Linked DNA regions of Caenorhabditis elegans. The protein of the gene in region 2 interacts with the protein of the main gene of each other region in a pairwise test. Each region holds a gene or a part of one and is shown on either strand. Other genes may lie near its edges.

Region 1 (6,426 bases), on a different chromosome or scaffold from region 2:
TTTGGCGAAACGATAATAAAAACAAAATAAAAACTCGTGCTTTTCAAGTCTATTTACAAAACATTTTCAGCGGCAATCTGTGCTCGGAAATCAAGTAGAAATGGATATGATGATGGCAATTGAAGAAAATGAATCACTGCTTCGAGTGGGAATTTCATTTGCTTCAATGGAAGCAAGACATCGAGTTTCAGAAGCATTGGAAAGGAATTATGAAAGAGGTTTGTTATTTTATAAAAATATATCCTGATCGTAATTTGACTGTATTTCATTTAAAAAAAAAACTCAAATATGAGTTGGACTGTGGATCCGAAACCGAAAAAAACTAAATTTTAATAATTTTGACCTTTGTGCTTTTCTCCAAAGTGTTCTTCCTTTACGTCACCACTCAATGTACGTCTGTTCTATTTTTTTTTCGACAAAATCATAGAAAAATCAGCTGTTTTTATCAGTCGCCTCCTTCATATTCGGCTGACTTTAAACTTTTCGCTAGAGGGGGAAGCCGCTTGGGGAAAAATTGAAAATGTGTGACACCTGACCTCGGAAAAGAAAAAAGAACGAGAACTAAAATTGAGGGATTTTAAAGAAATATTGATTAATTTAAAATGTATAAAAATACTTAAAGAAAAGATTTTGAAAATTTAAAATAAGTATTACCGGTCTGTCAATTTATTCTTTACCTTTAATTGTTTAATTTTAAATATAAAAAACGTTTTAAAAAGTAGTTCAAAAAGAGAGAAGTAGTCAAAAAATTTTTAAATGCCGAAAAAAAAATCACTTGTCCGTGTGGAGTATCTTCCGTAATTCGACATATATCAAACCGCGCCGCGGGCTTGCAAAATGCTTTTCTTGAGTGACAGTTATGTTTTGGCAGTAATACGAAAGATAAAATACTCACCGTACAGTATCAATAAATTAATATTTTACAGTACGTCTGCGTCGATTGGGAAAAGATCCGAATGTCTGAATGTCGTGACGTATCCAAATCTAGAATAAAATCACCTCGTCTGCATTTCTTTTTTTTAACTCTCCCACCCTCTCTCCAACTTATGTGTATATTTTCTTTCTTTTCCTTGTCCCATCAACTTATTTTCTTTTGTTCTATATTCTCATTCATCTCAATCGGTTTATTTTGGTTTTACTCCACACACAGCCCCGTCCCTCCAATAGTTAATAATGAATTTATTACAAAGAAATTCATAAATATATAGAAATCCCCCCGTTTCATCAAATTTTGTATAATTTTTTATTCTGGAAAATACCCAGAAACTTACAGCAGGGTGTCGTAGTTGTTTCATTTGATTTATTATTGAACTCTAGCTTTATCGATTTTATCAAGTTTTCCCCTCAGCAGATGCAATTTTTCTTCGAAGAACCCACTTGTGATCCTCCCCACACCGCACCCTTTCTTCTTTTTATTCAAAAGATTTTATTCTCAAAAATCTGAATTTTTTGAAAAAATTCGCTTTTTATCCACCACTCTTCCATTTTTCTTGTTCTTTTCCCAAAAATGTTTTATACAACAAACAAAAATTGTGATTTGATTAGTCTTCTCTCTTACAGCTGTCTCCCAATCAATTTTTAATAAAAACACGAAATCCAAAATTAATTATTTATATAATTCAATTATAATTCAGTTTTAGCTAATTTTCAATGGAATAGGCACTTCATCCGGTAGATCATCTCCAAGATCAACATTCACTCCAAGTGCATTGCATAATGAGTAAAGAATAAGTTTAACGTCAGCATGAATTGCAGTTTCCACGATTTTTTCCTGAAAAAAAGGAAAATCATTAAAATATACGAAGCTTCAAGAGAATTTAAAATTGGAATAGCGCCGACGGGAATTTTAAAATACGTAGAATGGTCCTGAATTTCATGATAGAAATTGATTCAGATAGGGAGCCGAAACCAGTGGTTTTTCTCAAACTTTTTGAAATTATTTTTTGGACATTTAGGACAAATCTGCGTATTTTAAAGTAAAATCCCTATCGCCGCAACGAAAACTTTGCGAATGGAAGAATGAACATACATGTGCAGTTTCCTGATAATTAATTGTAGTTGTTTTAATTCCTTTTGATTTTGCATCAAGTGGTAGAGATCCCATTGGAATAATTTCAAGTGATGTTCCAATACAAAGAAGATGAGATGTTTGTTTCCATGCTTTTCGGATTCTGTCCAAATGATTTAAACTGATTTCTGTATCCCAATCGAGAGTTGCATCACGAAGTTTACCACGACACGATCGCCCGGTTCGTTTGTTTCCTTCACAATTACGACCAGTTGGACACAGGCCAACACTCATTACAATTTCCTCTCGTACATATTCACTGTAAAACAATATATTTAACACTTTCGATGAGAAAAGTTTAAGACTTTTCCAAAAAATGTTCTTGTAAATTAATTGATTCTAATATTTGATGCTAAAGTTTTATACTATATATTCCGTTTGTTTTAAAATTGTCAGAATTTAGACGGCGGTTTTTGTGAAGTGAGCTAGAAAAATAAGAACCTTTTTTCTTTATTTTTCACGTTAGATCTTTTTGAAACTTGAAACTTACAATAGACTTGGATGGGTTTTCAATAGTTCCACCGAACCGATTTTTGAGAGAATGCACCTAACTCATTTTATGAAGATGGTCGAGTTTTCCGTGGATTGATTTTTAAAATATACCTAAAACATGATTGACAGACTTCTAGAAATAAATTTCCATGTACTTCAATGAGATCTTCAACTGGAATCCCGACTTTTCGATCCAATCCATCAACATTCTGTGTGATTATCGTTTTGATGTAACCCGCCTTGTGAAGTGCCAATATTGATTTGTGTGAGACTCCGGGACGAGCCTGTCAAAATTTTTATTTATATTTAAGAAATGTTTTTTTTTTATTAAACAACGTACAACTTGAAAGTCCACTCCTTCTGCATGTTTTCCTTCAGCTTGTAATGTCCAAACGCCTTGTTTTCCTCGAAAATCTGGAAGTTTCGATCCAGTGCTCACACCGGCTCCGATAAGAACAAAAATTGGTTTTCCGGTTTGTTTAGCTTGGACGAAATGGTTGTACAAAGTGCGGAGTTTCTCAATTATTTCAGTTTCAGTGTCTCGGATCTGAAAATTTTGAATAAGAAATATTATACTATTGTGTTTAAAAAATCTTTTCTTACTCGAAACGGTTTTGTATTTTGCAGATTTCATTTTTTTTTTGTATTTTATAAAATGTGATTATTCAAAGTTTTTTTTTGGCGAAAAGGGATAATTCTATTATACCTTTTTTTGAACATTTTTGTACTTGCGTTTTGGGCTCAAACTTTTTACGGCTTTAAGATAAATCCAAAGTTCTTTTTTTTTGTTCTTAGCAATTTTTAATTTGAAAAAAAAGTGTGTTTTAAGTGCAAAATCGATGAGAATTTCTTTTTTTTTTCAATTTTTTTAAAATTCAGAATTAATTTTAATACCTCAGGTTTTCCAATTACTCCTTTGTCTGGATAGTCTGATAAAAGACTTTCATAAACTGATGTCATTTTTCTGAAAACAAATTCTTCATTTCTTTCAATTTCTGATAAAACTGGCTAATTTGAAAATCGATGAATTTTCTTCTCTAGCAAGTTGCCTTTTTCGAAAATAAACTCACGAGCCTTGAATCCATACATAATAATTGTATTTTATAAAAAAACACAGTTTTTTATAGGGGAACAGTAAAATTTATTAGTTTTGTACTGACAGTGAGAGAAAAACCATTGAACAATGAGGTAGTGAACGTAGACAGTCGGCTAATACAAAAAAAAGACAATTGAGAAAATTAATAATACTAGTTGATATCTAAATGATTATAACAATGATACAAATCTGAGACATTATAATGAGAGAAAATGGTCGAAGGATTTTCAATATTTAGCACCTTTTTTTAGCATTTTTAGCTGCTTTTATTGAAATGTTGGAATATGAACAGCCGATGCATTCCATAGCTGTTGAGCTAGTTCCTGATCTCCTTGAAATACTGGAAGTTTTGTCAAATTTGCAAGAAGTGGTCCTATTGATCCAAGAAGAGAATCCATTAGAAGATCAAGTGAACCATTTACAGTACCAACTTCATCAGCTCTGGAAATATTTAACGATTTATAAAACTTCAAATTCAGGTTGGTACCTTGTAACAGCAGCAGACCGTACAGCATGAGCCATCATTCGAAATGCAGCTGCAGAATCAGCGGGAGTTGTTCCGAATTCTCGTTCTGGTGATGCATCGACTCTCCTTTTCTCTCCAGTCCACCATCTTGCACGTTTCTCCATTGCACACGGTCGATATGATGCGGAACGATCATTGAGAGGAGATGTCGCTGAAGAAAAGAAAGTATTCAAAAATCTTTTAGATCATGGGCGCCGTCGAAAAAAATCCGATTTTTTGAGGTTTTTAAAGACAACCGATAAATTGAAAACAAATTTCAGAAAATTTACAAAAAAATTCAATTTTATCAGCAAAAACAGAACACATACAATTTTATTCGAAAAGAATCTACAATTTTCGATGTTCTAAAAATTGAAAAAATCAACAAAAAAATTGTTTTTTTTTCGATATTTCGAAAAATCTCTTGAAATTTGGGTAATTTCTCTTTTTCAGAATAAATTTATTTATTTTCTTATGTGTTTTGTTATGCCTTTCAACCCAAAATTTGATCTTTAAAAAATTGAATTTTATGGTTAATTTTTTGAAAATTTTTTTTTCTCGATAACACGCTAGTTTCTGATTGATCACTATCGTTAAACATTTAGAGGACAAAAAACGTACATCTTTTCTTAACATCATCCTCAAATGGACTATAATCTCTATTTTTTCCTCCAGTTCCTGCACCCAAACCATCCTTCTTCCTTTTCGTATACTTTCTTCTTTGTTGTGGAACAGACGATGTTGCAGCAGCATCAAGCGCCATTTGAGAAGCTCGTGCAGCATTTACAGCTGCTTGCTTTTCTTCAACTTCTTTTTGCATTTTTAATCGAATTTTGATATCATTTTTAGAGGGACGTCCAACTTTTCGTTTCAATGAAGGATATCCATCATCTTCTTCTTCTGAAAACTTTGTCAACTTCGATTCACAACTTTCAAAATTTAAATTACCTTTTTTCGGTTTCATCAGTTTCATTGGCTTGGTGATAGGTGATTTGAATGTTGTCATTTTCTTTCGTCCTGTATTTTTTGGTATTTCTTCATGTGAGCGGACCCATCCGTACCATTTTCGACATTTTTTATCAACACAACGCCATCTGAAATAAGAAACATAAGAAAAGAGCATCAAAGAAATTAAATTCATTTTTTGTTGATATTTTGTAGGAAATCTTACCTATGCCGATTTCCACCACACATTTGTGGTCTCACTTGTCCATTACAATTAACACAATGTCTATGTCCACTTGCTGAGATTGGAGGTGTCTTTTCCACTTTGCTGTAACCACTTTATCAGTGTTGACGCATCACTGCCATATATTTTAATAGCAAGTAATAGGGAACTTACTAATGTTTAGGACGAGCTCTATCACGAATACGAAGAGAGCTTGACAACGGAGAATTTGATCGACCCAAAAGACCTGTAGAAGTTGATGGAGTTATCTGTGGAATTGGACTGTGTGATCGAGATCGTGGAGAGAGAACCTTAAATAAAATAGTTTTTGGTATCTCATATTGGTTTTTTTTTCAAATGTTGCGTTATCGTAATGAGCGAAAACAACTGGAAAAGTTTATAAAATATTTCTACGTTTTATCATTTCTTCAATCTTTCAGAAAAGTTTTGACTAAGGTGCAATAAAATCCAAAAATAGTCTCAAATTCACAAAAACCACAAAAAAAATCCACCTCTTAAAAACGCGCTTTTTCGATTTTGGCTATGACTCATTGTGGAGCAAATTCAAACAGAGAATTTGCTGATAGCCGAAATTGAAAAATCGCGTTTCAAAAATTTGATTTTTTAAATTCTGAAATTTATGAATGTTTTACAGTTATATTCAGCCAATACTCTTTTTTATGTAGCGAAAAAGCCTTACATCTTACAAATTTGTGAAACGTGTCTTACCTGAACCCTTTTCTTTTTTTTATTAATAGAATTTGCTCTTCTTGCAGCTTCTTCGTCAATGGAATCATCATCGTCTGAGTTCCGTTTCGGTTTCCGTGCTCTTTTTGCAGGAAGTGATGATTTTTCAGCACTAGTATCACTAAGGCATTCCGTTTTTATTTCCAGGTTTGGCATACGAATAGGTTGATCAATAATTCCACGAGCGGCAGCTACGGATGCACTTCCTTGAGTTTTAATTGCTCCACAATGACTTGAATTACATTTCCAACTTCCATTGGTTAATCGACATTCATATCCACAACGATCACAAAATTCAACTGCCGCCTGTAGTATTGGATTCAGCATTTCAGGAGACAATGGTCTATCAA
Region 2 (6,671 bases):
ACCATGTAGACGCTTTGCGTATTACTCCAATTGGAAGAGTTACAAGATAATTTGCATGTAAACCAGACACAAATCGTTCTTCTCCTCCATGGTCTGCCGATATTCGTTCGATATCAAATATTCTTTCTCGTACAGATTTGATTCCTCCCTTTGCGTCTGTATGTTTAGATAACTCAAGAATTGACGACCAATGTTCGAAAATAGAAGCAGATCCGCCTTTCTCTTTCTCAATAACCTAAAAAACAGATTTCTATTAATATCAAAAAATATACAGCGTCATACCTCATGGATCAACTTCATTCCAATTGCTCGATTCGATTTTCGTGCTGCCACCGCTACCCATTGAAGAGTATTAATTGAATGTCTCATATCATTTGCACACAATTCGCATAACTTTCTCAAAGTACTCAAATCACATCGAAGACGTTCTCGGTCACAAATTTCTTCCAGTCGTTTTGCTAAAACATCTTGTTTTGTTGCGACTAGTTGCACACACCAGGCGACTCCTCGTAAATCACGCAATGCTGGCGTATACCTTTAAAAACAAATAATTAGAAAATCAAACACATCTTACGAATACATTGAGTTATCCCGATAAAGGGGGTTTGTGTTCCGATTTTTACCAAAATCTGAAACCAAGAATTTTAGTTTTTGATTTCTTTCGATTTTTCGAAAAATATCTTGAAAGTTTGATCATTTTTATTCTATTTTATTTTTATTCATGTTTTCTTGTGTTTTTATCAACAAAAACAGAATTTGATTTCAAAAAAAAAAAATAATTTTATGGTTCACTGATTTTTTTTCTTCGAAAAATTGTCGTTTTTCGATTTTTAGATTTTCAGTGAAAAAAATCGTCAAAATTTTCGCTGACATCTTTGTTCCCGATTAGGACTGTCGTTTTTAGTTGGTGTTTCTTGCAAAAATGGATTTTTGGACTAAAAAACAAAAGATTATCTTTCAAAAATGTAGGTATGATGGAAAAATCAAAAGTGTTTTTTTTTTCGGTTTTTTGGAGAAAATTGGTTTTTGGTTGAAAATGTTTTTGCAACTGTTCCCGATATCCTATTATATATTTTCTTTCTGTGTCACTGAAGCCATAAAATAACTTACAAATTATTGCAAATTCCAATAATGGGTCGCCGAATGGCTTTTTTGCCTGTTGCTTGAATACACCGAACCAAATGACGAATAGTATCAATTGGTGTTCCATCAATTTCATCAAGAATCAGGCATGCTGGCCGTTGATCTGCATCAAGTGTTCGAGATGTTTTTACAGCTCCTTCTAGTACTTTATTTAAATCTGCGACTGTTCGAGCATCACTTGCATTTACATCAATTGTTGAATAGCCTGCTTGACGAGCGACAATTCGTGCTAGTGTACTTTTACCGAGACCAGCCGGGCCAGAAAGAAGCAACATTTTCGATGATGGACGCCGAATTTTGCCATTATCCATGTGTAGTACTTCTCGTTCTTTTTCACCGAGGCTTGCTAGTAAATCGTCGACTTTTTGATGGAACACACACTCGTCCCACATTTTCAGCCATGTAAGAATATTTCGATTGACAGTCTGCAATATCGTGACTTCTTTTTTTAAAATAATGTAATTCCTTACACTGTCCGAGAGCAAATCTGAGAAATTTTTGGCTTCGTACTTGTTCACCCATAATGATGATTCTGGATGAGATTTATTATTTTCATATTCAGACGGTGTTTCAGTTTCTTTAAGCATGCGTGAAAACTCGGCTTCCTGTTCTTTAACGCGAGATTCTTCTTTCAACTTGCTGAAAACTATAAAAGTATTCAATTTTCTAGTGAAACTATTACCTAAGACGTTCGGATTCCTGACAAATCGACTGAAAAGCTCGAAAACCGACCCTCGAACGGGTTGCTTGTTGGGTAATCGATTCTACTAACGGAACAGAAAGACGATCATCACGGAAAGTTCGAATATAAAATCGTTGCCCGTTGACGACATCACTGATACCAATCCAAGGTGAACCATCAGTTACCGGATTTCGCATGATTTCCTGAATTCAATGATAAAAATATAATCTTTCAAGGAAAAGTAATAACCTGTCGTCTTCTATATCTCCGTTCCATTTCTAGCTCACAAAGTGAAGAAATTGTCTGCTCTCCGCTTTGAAAATCGTCAAAAGCATTAGAATGATGATTTTCATTCATTTTTCTTTCAGCTTGAGCAGCTGCTTCGTTGATTTTCTGTTCCAAGCTTTCGAGGGCTCTTCTCTTAACAGCATTTACTTGTGACTTTTGTAATACTTCACTGGAAACTGTTTCCATTCTCATATGCCAATCTAAATATATAATTTAATTGGAAAACCTTCTTTTTGACTGACCCATTGGATGTGAACGTCTTCCATATTGATCAAATACGTCTTCTACTTCATTCAAGCGTCTTTTTCTTTTACCATATCCAACTTCTTCGAGAGCATTCCTAACTTCATTGATTCTTTGATTTTCAGAGTCTCCATTCGGAACTACAGCTAGCTGATCCTCATCATCTCTTAAAATTCAGCGAATGTAAAACTACTTCTGCTTCTCAACATAAAGATCTTACGGATATTCAAGTTGCCCATCATCGTCGGCAAACCCAGAATGCAGTACATTGTAGTCATCATCCATGTCTTGCTGTATCCATTAGAAATGTTAGAAACACAATCTCACAACAATAAGTACAATACACTGTTACTTGACACACTACATATAAAAAAAACAAATTGAGAAACTTGAATAATTTAGATACAAAACTTTATTTTAATTCCAACGTGCCAAAATGGGGGTAAGAACTTGAGTACAAAGAGTACTCCCGAACACCAATGAAGGAAACAATAACGGGGGCTTGTAAAAGGAGAAGGAAAGTGGTAATATATTAAAACAACATTCAAATACAACTTGGATATTCGGTGGTGGGATGATGTCTGATTGCAACTTGTACTCGAAAAGAGTAAACTCAGATGGGATCACGGTCGTCAATCACCGAAAACCGGGGAGATAGGATGTGAAAATGGGATGCGGGCTGATTGGATTGGATTGTTGAGAGATCTACTAAAACGCTACACGCCATAAAATTCAGATACCAGAATCTTCTTACTTAAATCATCATTATTAGAACGGTGAGGAAGGAAAGGAGAAACAATAAATAGGAAAATGAGAAGGATAGGTACAGAATCTAATGGATGTGCAATTCTTACAAGAAGGAAAAAGGAGAACGGAAAGCTTCTAATTTTGTCCCGCATTTTGGAAACCGCTGCGCATACCACCTCGTGGAGCACCACCCGAACCGCCACGGCGGAAGAATTGTCCACCGCGTGGTTGGAAACCTCCACGTCCTCCTCGGAATCCGCCGCCTTGTGGTTGATCACGTTGCTCACTAATTTGAGCATGTCCGTCAAATCCGAATGCATCCAGTTTGAGTGGAAGCTTCCACACGCCTTGCTCATCCTTTGTAGCCGCTTCGAAAATGGCTTTTACTCCGGCCTTGTTACGCATGGTAATAAATGCAAAGGCATGTTTCGATGTGTCGTTCGGACTGTCAAGAACCTTGCGCGGCATGCGAACCTCCTCGATTTCTCCATATTCTTAAAATGAAAATTTAGTGAACTATTGGGACTATTAATTTGCTTACTGTAGAACACCTGCTTGATTTCCGATTCAGCCTGAGCTGTGTTGCTGGGGACAATCTCTCGAGTGATTCCTCCCAAATAGATCTTACGCTCATTTAGGTTGGCATCTGAACTTTCCTGAGCTTGGCGCAATTCATTAGCTGGGTGCGACTGTCTCTGTTGCTGATAAAGAGGAGCATGCGATCCTTGTTGTTGCTGATGCATGGAAGGCTGCATGTGGTGCATTTGTGTTTGCTGATGGATTTCTGAAAAATAAATAATCTGAGACTAGCCCGATCATCTTTCGTTTTTTCAACTCACGCTGTCCTTGTCCATAACTTTGTTGTTGTGGGGGCTGAGACTTTCCACCTCCACCCACAAGATTAGCCCACGTTTTCTGAACCTTTGGCTGTTCTTGAACAGGCTCAGGAACTGGGGCTCTCTGCTGTGGGGGCTGTTGGGCAAGCTGTGGTTTCTGCGGTGTTTTCGCTACCTCCTTTTCCACAGATTTCGGAGTGTCTTGCTTCACTATACGATCTTCAGCTTTCTTTGGCGTTTGCTGCTTTGGAGGAGCCGGCTTTGATTGTTCCTTAGGTTGCTCGGTTTTGGAAGATTTGGAATCCTTTCCATTTGCTCCACTGGCGTGTCCGTTATGACCAGTCGACGAAGTAGTCTTCTCCTTTTCCGTATTCGCGACGAAAAACTTATCAATGTACTGAAAAGCGTCTGATTCGACATAGTATTTTTTCTGCCCTTGTTGCCCAAGCAAAAATGATTGAAGGAATGGACGGAGGTTAACGGTTCCGATAACATTGATAATCACTCCCTGTTTGTGTGGGGTTGGGTATCCCTTAAAAATATATTTGTAGGAAAATCGAAGAACGTCGTGTTTACCTTGATAGATTGAATCTTGAAGTGGGTGGTTTCTGGTAGATGATTGTACAACTTAACAATCTCCTAAAAATATATTAACGAAATGTATTTTTGTCAATTTATATTTGTTGCCAACCTGCGATCCAGTGACCACCTGATCATCCAAATAGAACTTCGATTCATGTCCATAGAACTTGGTAATCGCTTTACGGTTCTCAGAGACGGTGATATAGAACTGATGGCAGAACGCTCCACCGACTTCTGAAATAAAATCAATTTAATGCAATATTCGGGATTGAAAGAATTGAAAGAAAAGGTGTGTAAGCACTTATTAAGTGCGACATGACTCACGTTCAGCGGCTGTCAATGAGAGTGGCTCGACCGGAGCGGTGGAAGTCAAATTACCATTGATCGGATCCATCTTATTCTGGGTTAAGGCCGAGGTTATCTGCATTTAATAATTACCTGAAAATGTTTATTTTTGTTTATAATTTTAAAAACGGTTTATGTAAAAGATGACGAAAAAATAATTTAACCGCTGCTTGCTTCATGATATCAAGTTTAACTATTTTGGAGGAAACTAGTTGTAAAACGGATAAATTGAACCGGAAAACTGAAAACGAACGTAAATCCGAACGCGCGAAATTCGAAAGAGGCGTTTTTTGGCAACGGGCCAGTTTGATTCGCAGGCACGCTCGTTTGAATTTAGTGATGGGTCTCGGCACGATTGCCATTTTGCGAGGCAGTTCAAATACACTTTTCTCTGCATCCTCCGTTTGTAGTACAGTCTTTTGTTTCTTCTCGGTTTTCCACGTATTTCCAGCTTAATTTGCCAACAAGGCGTTTATTGAGAGAACTTCCTACAGATTTATCAAATCATTATTGTCAGTGAAGCGCCTAGCATGCAACTGGTTTTCCTGATTCTCTCTGCTCTTGCAGCTGCTGATGCTTCTGCGGTAACTTTATCAAATAAAATTTATAAATCTGGCTAAAATCGTATAATTACAGAAAATTCTTATCGGCAAATCCTTCGTGACCAAGTATCCGGTTGCACAAAGAGAAAACGCATTTGAATATCAGATTATCAACATTGGCCTTTCTCCAGCTCTCAAGGTATGTTTCAAAAAGTCGCAAAGATTTTCTTTAAAAATTAGTTTCTTTCTTTCGGATAACGCGAATTTTGGTTAGAAATTGTCGATTATTTCAGGTCGAGCTGTCTGATCTCAAATCTTTCCCAACTGACCGATTCGAGATTTTGAAAGGATCTGCAACAGCAAGTTTTCCCGTCATTCCTGCGAATTCCACCATCTACCATCACATTGTTGTCATTCCTCGTGTTCCTCAAGCCATCGAAGATCACGATGTTACCGTGAACTATACTGATTCCGAGACTGGCAAACGTGCGCGAACCTCTACAGTCTCGTATGATAAGAGAGGATACAGTATGTTTTGAAAACAACGGAACTAATTCAAAATTTTAAACTTAAGCTCATTTCTTCGCCGAAACTGCCATGAGAAAAGTGGAAGGAGTCAATTGCACACACTTCCTCGGATTCGGAGCCATCGCTTTTCCATTGACTGCAATCCCAGCAATTCTCTACTGGATCTCCAAACGTCGTTATTCAAACAAAAAACAGGATTAGCTTTCGAATCGTTGTTTAATTTTACTGGTTATCAATCTATGGGTACACATATAAGTCAGCTTTAAATTGTATTTATTAGCACCCGGTTGAAGAATAAAATATTGTAGTTTTTCGACAATTTTATTTTCCACATTTCAATGTCAACTGCGTCAGCCGAATGCAAATTTCAGACGGCACTAGAATAGTTTGCATAATCCCTCTCTTCTCGTTAGTTGAACGAAGCGAGTCGGCAGTCGAGTTGTCAAGAACAACACAGACAAGATGGGCATGAAGAAGGATCTTCTTCTTGTGCTTACCATCGAATCTGTCGTGCTCGGTGTTGTCTTGGGCTTCGTTATTCGACCTTTCAATCCCAGGTGAGAAGATCTTTAAAATCTTTCGGGTCTAAATTGTAAATTTTAAATTAATTTTTTTAAATCGATTTGTGAATTCCAGTAATGATACAATCAGTCTTATCGGATTTCCTGGTGAAATTTTCATGCAAATCGTTGAGATGATGATTTTGCCATTGATAATGTCTTCTGTGATATCTGC

Evidence for each region.
Region 1: the proteins of gtbp-1 (region 2) and sir-2.4 interact in a two-hybrid assay, tested with the Caenorhabditis elegans proteins (one study listed by BioGRID).

The regions. Positions count from the first base shown.
Region 1 is NC_003279.8:5,987,839-5,994,264, reverse strand, and holds sir-2.4 (NAD-dependent protein deacetylase sir-2.4), read right to left. Parts: upstream 3,525-6,426; 5' UTR 3,521-3,524; coding exon 3,455-3,520; intron 3,108-3,454; coding exon 2,901-3,107; intron 2,845-2,900; coding exon 2,672-2,844; exon of another isoform or gene 2,559-2,671; intron 2,328-2,558; coding exon 2,030-2,327; intron 1,772-2,029; coding exon 1,637-1,771; 3' UTR 1,599-1,636; downstream 1-1,598. Other genes in the region: unc-94 (Tropomodulin), read left to right, coding at 71-218, 927-964; C06A5.3 (PWWP domain-containing protein), read right to left, coding at 3,923-4,097, 4,144-4,333, 4,783-5,061, 5,110-5,255, 5,333-5,443, 5,504-5,640, 6,059-6,426. UniProt on the Caenorhabditis elegans protein: NAD-dependent protein deacetylase.
Region 2 is NC_003282.8:10,123,998-10,130,668, forward strand, and holds gtbp-1 (Ras GTPase-activating protein-binding protein gtbp-1), read right to left. Parts: upstream 4,960-6,671; 5' UTR 4,949-4,959; coding exon 4,846-4,948; intron 4,756-4,845; coding exon 4,631-4,755; intron 4,579-4,630; coding exon 4,516-4,578; intron 4,472-4,515; coding exon 3,943-4,471; intron 3,888-3,942; coding exon 3,645-3,887; intron 3,598-3,644; coding exon 3,239-3,597; 3' UTR 2,752-3,238; downstream 1-2,751. Other genes in the region: ctf-18 (AAA+ ATPase domain-containing protein), read right to left, coding at 1-235, 283-535, 1,111-1,568, 1,614-1,782, 1,826-2,028, 2,075-2,313, 2,356-2,522, 2,577-2,641; K08F4.3 (Translocon-associated protein subunit beta), read left to right, coding at 5,397-5,450, 5,503-5,607, 5,702-5,936, 5,983-6,137; Putative sodium-dependent excitatory amino acid transporter glt-3, read left to right, coding at 6,399-6,493, 6,573-6,671.